Tribolium castaneum: one gene and its partner. The protein of the gene in region 2 interacts with the protein of the main gene of each other region in a biochemical or structural test. Links are inferred from orthologs where the notes say so. Each region holds a gene or a part of one and is shown on either strand. Other genes may lie near its edges. The genes, in order: Dg and Dys.

What was found.
Region 1: the proteins of Dys (region 2) and Dg form a complex in vitro, tested with the Drosophila melanogaster proteins (2 studies listed by BioGRID). The link is inferred for Tribolium castaneum from reciprocal best matches to the Drosophila melanogaster genes Dys and Dg.

The regions. Positions count from the first base shown.
Region 1 is NC_087396.1:21,080,223-21,084,791, reverse strand, and holds the start of Dg (dystroglycan 1), read right to left. Parts: upstream 3,106-4,569; 5' UTR 2,948-3,105; intron 1-2,947.
Region 2 is NC_087398.1:6,146,115-6,150,641, forward strand, and holds the start of Dys (dystrophin), read left to right. Parts: upstream 1-1,628; 5' UTR 1,629-1,969; coding exon 1,970-2,221; intron 2,222-2,263; coding exon 2,264-2,959; intron 2,960-3,010; coding exon 3,011-3,323; intron 3,324-4,168; coding exon 4,169-4,527. Other genes in the region: solute carrier family 35 member E2A, read right to left, coding at 1-97, 147-347, 393-579, 624-739, 794-929, 976-1,195.

The DNA of each region.
Region 1 (4,569 bases), on a different chromosome or scaffold from region 2:
TTTATACAAGTACAGGGTGTGCAGAGTATTGATTTTGCGACCTTGGAAACGAGCCGAGCCGCCTCGACAGAGACGGACTCCGGGCATTAAATGATAATCTATGGCTCTGCAACACCACCAACAGGCCCCTGAATTTGAAATAAGTTGACACCCAACAATCCAACTGTTAATAACTACTTTTCCAAAAAAAAAACCGAGGGTACTCGAAAAAAATCGGAAAAGTTAATTTGTGGCAAAAATTGCGCAGTGTTGACTTGTGCGTGCTGCATCTGGCCTTATTTGCGCCCATATGGTCCAAACCGGTCTTATTTAGCTGGCTCTTTTCTCATTCAAATTTCTTCGACAAGAGTTAAATATTTGCGCGTCCTTTCATATATCAACGTAATATCGTAGATTTCCTCTATGTAGGAATATTTGGGTCGGCCCTTTTGAAGCGACGCTTTGAAGTTAACGACCCACTTTAAGCTTCCGCGTTCACGCCCAAATAAAGCGGGGACTAACACGAATTTTCCAAATATTGTGATAAGTGGGGTCAGCCAGGTTACTATTTCATTCAATGAGCGATAATTCGGTCATTAATAAAAATCTAAGGACGTGACGACCGACATGAGGGAAATGTGATGGAAATCTTAACTAAATGTGGATTACTCGAGAGATATGCGAGGTTTAACATCACTTACAAACAACAAAGCTTTATCACTTAGTTCGTGAAACCACGACTGTAATGAAGCCTTGTTGAGTCTCCTTAAAACAATTCATATGCGGAGTGTTCTAACTTGTCTGTGTTTTTTTATACTTGGTTGGCAACAAATAAAGTGTCATTAAATTAGCAACCTTGGGTTATTTATAAGTTCAATGCAAATGCGTTTATTACACTTTTTAATCAAACAGGAGCGTTATCTTTCAAACAAGCGATCTGAAAATAGCAATGTGTTTCAAAAATTACAAATTTTTATTTCGATCGCGTGAAAAGCCGCCCAAGCACGCACAGTTGCGATTACAACATTCCGGCGTCGTTATTTCAATCGTTGGTGCAATTTTTCATTTCGCTGCAAATGTAATTTCGAAAAATACTTTCATCTCGTTCGACAGCTGTTTGCATTCATCAGTGTTTGAAATGTCCTCGTATTTACCCTAAAACAAATCAATATTTCCCAACTTCTCGTTTGCTTTCTTTATCAATTCACGACGAAAATTACATTAGGAAAGTTCGAACGAGAAAATTCTCTCAAGACACTTTTGTTCTTCCGCTTAACGCGAATATATCACAACACGGGGAACATTCTGCGGTTAAAATTACGATTTCAGTTGGCAGTACTTGTTTCCGGGTTGCTATTTTCGATATCTCTGGAATAACAGCGCTTTAATTATCGCTGCAAGGTGATAAAGGCGAAAATCCGGGTTGAAAGTGCGAGTTGATGCATTTTTTTAATTAAAAACGCAAAAATACCACTACCAGTTTGCGAAAAGTTAGAAAAAAAAACAAGAAAGTTTAAGAGATAACAAAACCTAAAGATTAGGGGAGATTCAAGAACAAGTAGAAAAGGAACTTTCGTTTTACACATTTAAGGATAAGACACCACTCACACTAGTGAATGAAAGAGTGAAAAATTGTGTCGATCATAAATTAGCGTCAGGAGTGGAAAACCCGAAGGATTAGATTTTTCTTATCCAGGAGCATCGTGGGTTGAAAGTTGTTTGGAAGAGCGATATTTTCGCACAAAGAAACTAATAGTTTATGTGCTTAGTTATTACCTTTAATAAAGATCGGGTTATGGGTTATGAACATGAGATGCCCACTCGCAGCATCTCCGGCCGTAAAAGAGGCAAATCAAAGTGTTTTGTAGCGGTAATGGGGCTATAAAGGGGCCGAGATTTATGCAAGAGATAGTGCATACGGTATTTTTGCTAAAACTGGTGATTTGTCATAAAATATTGGTATTCAAGACGGACGAAGGCCAAGGAGCGACCCTTAAAAGGCATGCGACGAAATTAATTTCAAATTTCAATCAAGGAGCTTTGCGGTCGTAATAATTTTAGACTCGGCGGCTTCAAAGAAGTGATGTAACGCTGGATAATCAAAATCAAAATAAAACGAATTTGTTTGGATTGATAAATTTATTTACTCCGATTTGAGCTTATTTTTAAATTTATAGTTTTGACGTAAATCTGACGATAAACAATGACTCCGTCTCGAATTACATTCGCGGTAAAGTTTCCTAATTCCGAGCTCTTTTTAATTTTCTTTTCCATTCGAAATTCTCCCTTTGAAGTGTTTGATACAAAACTCGGGGCTTTTCATTAATTATTATTATCTTTTTCCTTTTTGTTTGTTTGGTGATTTCCTTTACAAATTACTCACGGAATAATTTGATTCCATTCGGATTAATTATTTCATTAGCCATCAATCCGAATTAATGTTTTATTGAACGATATGGAGCGCTCTCATTGCCAGATTAATAATTTGGAATTATCAGTCATGAAAATGCAGCTAGTTATTATGATTGCTTTCGCAGCCGAGTGTTAAACCGTCGACTTGTGCAACTTTTGTAAGCAAATACCATCGACACATATTTGCCTTTATTTGATTTTCGGAGCCTTGAAGCGCTCTTTGTGTCTAAATATGGCCATAATATCCTCTCATGTTCAATTAAGTTAACTCATATGCATCGTATCTTTAATCGCTGCTCATTTATTTGACTCATGTCGCGTCAAGAATTCCAAAACAAGCCATTAAAACAAATGGAGCTTTTTCCGTTTCTTAAAATAACAAATGGGCGCTTTTACTCGAGGGGAAACACAAAGCTTGCTGTATTGTACCCCGTTTCGGGCTTTATGCGCCCCCTTCAGCGAGAAACCGGCTCGGGATCGGGTCGCACATGTGAGCTTTTCATGGAATTTCTAACAGAAAGTGAGGGTTTAGAGGGATTAAAGGTGGATTTTTCACCTCTTGGATGGTCGATGAGGAGTAGTGAAGTGGCTAACCCTTTGCTGATGATGGCACAAACACTACACTAGAAGCGCGTTCACTACCCTTTCATCTCGTACTATGCTCGTGGACTGTCAGTTTTCAGATGCACAACTGCCCATTTGCCCCTCCTAACAGCTGGTCTTTCGATCTGTGGTGTGAGTGAGGAGGTGCTACGGCGACATCTGGTAGAGAATAGAGAATGGAAGTGATTACGTAACTGGGAATTCTGTAGAAAGAGAAGAAAGAGTACAGATTTCGGTCTGTGGTTAAGGGTGGGTTGCTCTAGCTGGTGGGGGTTGTAAGTGAGGAGGGTTGCGAGTTTGGGGTGGAAAATGTTCTGTAAAAAATGTTGATTATGCACAAGAGATGGCTCTGGAGACTGAATCTGTGGTATCTTGTGTAGGTTTTTATCAAGATTTTTGGAAAATAATTACAGTGGAACCCCTGTAACACGCAAGGAATTTATATTATGATGTTTTCTATATGATTCCATATAAAGCTGATGCTAAATGGTCTCATTTTTGCAATTATCTATCTAAATCCTTATTTGTTCTTCGTCTTTGTTTCGTAATAGATGTACTTCTTTATGCTTTTGCTATTTTTTCATATTTTTCGCCTTCTCCATTAAATTTCTGTATTTTTACGTTTTTGAAATTTAGGATTCTCTTCTTCAGTAGGTAAATACGTACGTTTTCTATTTTGTAATGTCTTATTTTTGCTTGATTTTAATATCTTTATTGATATTTTTTTTTATTGTGTACTAGCTCCTCACTTTTCTTATGTACATTATTGGCCTTATAATTCTTGTCTCCTTTATTATTTCAACAAAATTTTGTTATCTTTGTCTTTGTTATGTATCATAATTTTTTAGTTCAGCATTTTACTTATTCAATAAATTTGTTTATTAATCTATTTTTTATTGTATCGGTTGTTTAAAAAAAAACAATCTTGTTTACCTAAGTCCCCTAATATCTAGTAGATTGCTTTGAATTTTCCGTCTGCTATTTCTTAAAAACCACTAAAAGTCTCAACGCGTTCTGGAAATATAACTACAGTAGAACCTCTAGCAGTTGAATTACCTGTTACCACAAAAAATTCAAAATATCGAAATTTCTACGTATTTCTTTATATTCTCATATCCTTTTGTTTGACAATTATAAAATAAACAAACTAATTTAAATTCACAAAATATAAATTTGCAGTATATTACATGTTTAAGTTAGTCTTTCTTCTTGAAAATTTTGTAAAATATATTGTAAAAAGACAGACATATGCTTGATATCTTGTATTAATAACCTCTAAAAAATAAAAAAAAATCATTTCAAATCAGGTCTTTCTCGGAATAAAATAGTTAAGTAATGTGGTCCAGATAATGATAAAAATGACATTGTTTTACCTTTTTTTATCATTTTCAGCACGTCTTTGACTAAAAAACTCTTATTTTTGCCGAATTTTATCATAAATCTCCTAAAAAATCACCAAATTTATGTATTTTTTTTCAAAAATAATTGAACTATACTACCATTGTATGATAGAGATTCGATTTAAATAGTTTCCACTGTATATCTCAAAGAATAATAGTCGCACAAAAACTAGCG
Region 2 (4,527 bases):
AGTTATGGTTCCTACAGCACTCAATACTGTAACTTGGTTTCCAAACATGACGACAGACAGCCAGATTAAAAGAGCCCTTTTTGCTGTGTTTGCCACACTACAGACACTTGATTAAATTTTACAACAAGAAATAGTTTGGAAATCACCTGTGGGTCACCGGACTAATATAGTCCATTAAAACGTACGCTGTTATGCTCTGAAAGTGGAAAAAAACACCATTCAACATGAAACAAAAAATTATGTTCAAGTCAATCGGCTTGCTGTGGGTGAAATCTACTAAAAACAATGTGGCTGGAACTTGGATAACTACACTTGCGATGCTGGTGTAAAATTGAAGCTCTGCAGGTCTAAAATTCGATTTAAGTCCAGGTTTTTAAGTAATATTTTCTTACGTGTATTTGAACTTATCTCCCGATATTAACATTTTTGAATACACATTTTGTATACATTCAGTCAAGTTTGTGGCCATTGCAGCTATAAAGCCACGAATTTCAAAACTAATCTCATTAATTGAACACAGGGCTAATCCAGACATCACAGGCAACAGACTCAGATTCACATAGAGCCCCGTTTGCTCGCCTAAAACAACAATACAGAAAAAAATTGTTACCTAGCTCACATACCTAGAAGAAACCTAGATATCAATACTGTAAATAAAGGTGCCGAACTTTTGATTGTTTCAGTAAAACTCACTGCCACGTAATTTAGAGCTACCAAACCCAAAACCACAGTGAGAAATCTAAAAATTAAAACCAAATTATTTATTGTCTTCTGATTAAAATCAGGGACCCACCTTGTGCACCCAACCAAAACCATATGCCTGTAAAACCCAGGTGGTTTGCTCAACCTTTGGGACGGTTTATACATCCCACAAGGGAAGTACAATTGCACAAAGCCACAAGTGGCCGTCATCAGCATCTGACATGCTCCTGATAACAATGATTACAATAAATGTAACTCTGCCACAAGCCTTACCTAAGACAGTGGGGTTTCCATTCAGGAACGTCAAAATATACTTATTTAAAAACAAAGTGCAACCACTGAAAAAGTACCACAAAAGCAGGAAAAGTATCGCTCTGAAATTAGCAAGTCCGGCTTTGTGGGTGTCCACATCAGGCAGTTTCTCCTTTTTGGCGACTACATTGTTCTCCTGTTTCACATCATTCGAGTTTAACGTGATTTGAGCTTTATCCATCTTCTGAACAAACTTATCTAAAGATCATTGCTGTCACACAGGTGCGGAGTTGCAGTTTATCTAAGTCAATTTTTTGCACAAAGGCCAAGCAATTGTTAATTCATTGTTTGAAAACATTCACTTTACACGTCAGTTCACAAAAAGCAGAACACTGATGATTTGAACTTAACCTCCAAACCCATGTACTGTCACTAGTGTCAGGAACAGATGACTGGGGTGGTGCTGGGTTGCCAAGTATAATAAACACACTCAATTTATCACTTTTATTTATTCTAGGTGCACTTTTGTGTACCTAAAACAGCAAAAAAGAGCGAATAGACTCGCTTTACCGAAAATAATACAATAAAGGAAAATTTTGAAAAGTGACTCGAGCCTCTTTCCGCCCCCTTTTCAATGTTATTGACCATTTTTCAATACACCAAGGGTCGAATTACACCGTTCAGTCTGTTTTTTGGAGGGAAAACTTGTCTTTTGGGCCCGTTTTTCGTGATGATTTGATTTGGGCCCTAAAAGCCAGGCAAAAGTCTTGCAACGCTGCTCACAAATTGTCAGAGTGACATTCTCGCCACAAACAAATAAATGAATCAAATTCCTCCTGAAACAGCTCCAGCAGTAACGTATTGATTATTTCTTAAAGCGTGTCAGGGAGTGTTATGACAGGGAAACAGGTGCGCGGTCATCAACCCTCGCCGTTGTAAACATTGATCTGTGTGAAGAGGCCGAAGAAATGGCCTCTTCCAGTCAATTTGCCCCCACATTGTGACATTGGCCACGATGCAGAAGAAGGAAGAAAGCTTCGAGCACAAAAGGCTGGAGCTTGAGGCATGGCTGCAGCGGATGGAGGCCCGCCTTGCCTCCATGGCGGCCGTGGGCCACACCGCCGACGTCCTCGAAGTCCAGCTCAGGGAACAAAAAGGACTTCACGCCGAACTCCACCAGTTCAAAGCACAGATCGAGGCTTTCAACCAACTCACACAAAGACTGATCACAGCGCACCAACACGAAGACACCAGCCGCTACAAAAAGGTACACTCTGACCTAACCAACCCCAACTAAACCAAATTTCAGACAGCTGAGTACATCAACCAGCACTACATTCGTCTGGACGCCTGTGTCATCAACAGGGGGAAATTGCTGCACTCAGCCTTGAGCTCCCTTCAGAACCTAGACCGCTCCCTTGACAAATTCCTCGCGTGGCTCAGTGAAGCCGAGTCCGTGGTGGAGACGCTCGAGGGCGATGCGGAGTCCCGCAGGGCCGCCCATCAGTTGAAGGAATTACAGGCTGATGTGGAGCGACAAGCCCCAGCTCACGCCGCCCTTCGCTCGTCCAATTTAGCCCTTCTGGGGACCATGGCCCCCGAAGACGCCCTAATGCTCCAATTGAAGGGCGATGAGATGGAGCGGCGGTGGCAAGCCCTGAAGACACGAACCTCCGATTTGAGAAACCGGCTGGAACACAATGCCGACTATTGGAACGCTTTGCTTCTATCTTTAAGGGAATTGACCGAATGGGTGATACGGAAAGACACAGAGCTGGGGCTAGCAGCCCGCCAGGACGACCACCGAGCGTTCCGCCAACAGCTAGAAGACAAGAGGCCTCTAGTTGAGGCGAGTTTGCGGAGCGCTAGACAGTTCGTAGCGGGGGACCCTTCCGGCGAACTGGCCCGAAACCTGCGGAGGGAATTGGTCAAACTCTCGGATAAATGGAACGCTCTGATTGATAAATCGGACCAGTTGGCCGCGAGGTTCGAACAGAACACTATTGTAAGTGTAATTATGATGAGTCTAATTGAATTATTAATTTGTGGTGTTTAGAAATTGAAACAGCTGACTTTGAATCTGGAAGAGGCGTCCGCGGCTGTCTCCCGTCTAGAGCGCGCTACGCTTAGCTGGAGTGGCCCCCGGAGTGCAGCCGAGGCTAGGGAACTTTTGGCCAGTTTGCGGAATTTAGAGACGCAGCTGCCGCAATTGCAGCGTTCGTTGGAGGAAGCCAGGATTCAGGCGGCTTCCTTGGGGAATGCCTTGCCGAATAATCTGGCCACACAGCTTGAGGATTGCAGTGCGAGGTGTAGGGCGCTCCAGGCGGCGATCAGGGAGAGGCGGGAACAGCTGACTAGCACGACTCAGGGTGAGTTGAAACGTTCTGATTAATAAGTGTTCAATCTTTACGGGTCTGATCTGCCCACATGTATGTAAATTAAAAATGTTGTTGACCTCAAATGTTTGTCTAAGTTTATAGCCGAGAAGTCCTAATACCTACACAAACTTTCACATTTGAAACGTGTGACAATACAAGATGCAACTTTTTGTTCGATACACTTAAAAAACAATGACTAGTGTGATGTAAAGGTGTTAAATCATATTGTGGGCGTTATAAATTAATCTGTTTACACAACAAATGTACACGGGGACGTAACTACACGTCAAGTTTTATTAAAAAGTGTCAGTGTAATCAAAATAGTGGTATGTTCAAGAGAAGATATTTTCTAAGTATGTATTACCTAATTACTACATTCGCGTCTGTTATCTAAATGATCCTTTGGGTGAATTAACTCTGGCACTGAAAATATTATCAGTGAGTTAAGTAATTATGTTTTATAACAATGAATCTTCTTTCGTTCGAAATAAACGAGACAAATTTAAATGTTTAGATAGAGATAATTGCAACAACCCCACATATATTTTTGTAAACTAATGTTGAAGCCAGTTGTAAAACATTTTTATTTATAAAAATATAATATTAGTGCACAATTGTAGCACAAAATTATAAATTTTTGTGTTTTTTGTTTTCTTCCAATAGACTGTGGAAAATTGAACATTTTTTCAAAAAATTTAAATCTTTGTAAAAGACAAACATAACAACAGTCTCATTTTTTTAGTAAATCATAAGAAGACCTTTTTTATAGTAAATCAAAAAATTTCTTAGTTGCAAAAGATTTGACATTTTCAGTCGAATAAATTAAATTTTTCCAGGGGAGATATCCCCAGGCCCCTCCAGCGTCCAGCCGCCATGGGAGCGCTCCACCACCCCCAACAAAGTCCCCTATTACATCAACCACAGCACCGAGACAACCCATTGGGATCACCCCCAAATGCTCGAACTAGCCACTTCTCTTTTACAACTCAACGAAGTGCGATTTTCCGCATACCGAACGGCTTTAAAACTACGAGCAATTCAGAAGAAACTATGTCTAGATTTAGTCAGCATTAATGGTGCTTCGGAAGCGTTCGACTTGCACGGCTTGAGAGGCCAGAACGATAAATTACTCGACGTGGCCGACATGATTTTGGTGTTACGAGCGATTTATGCAACTGCAGCTTCGCTACAACCC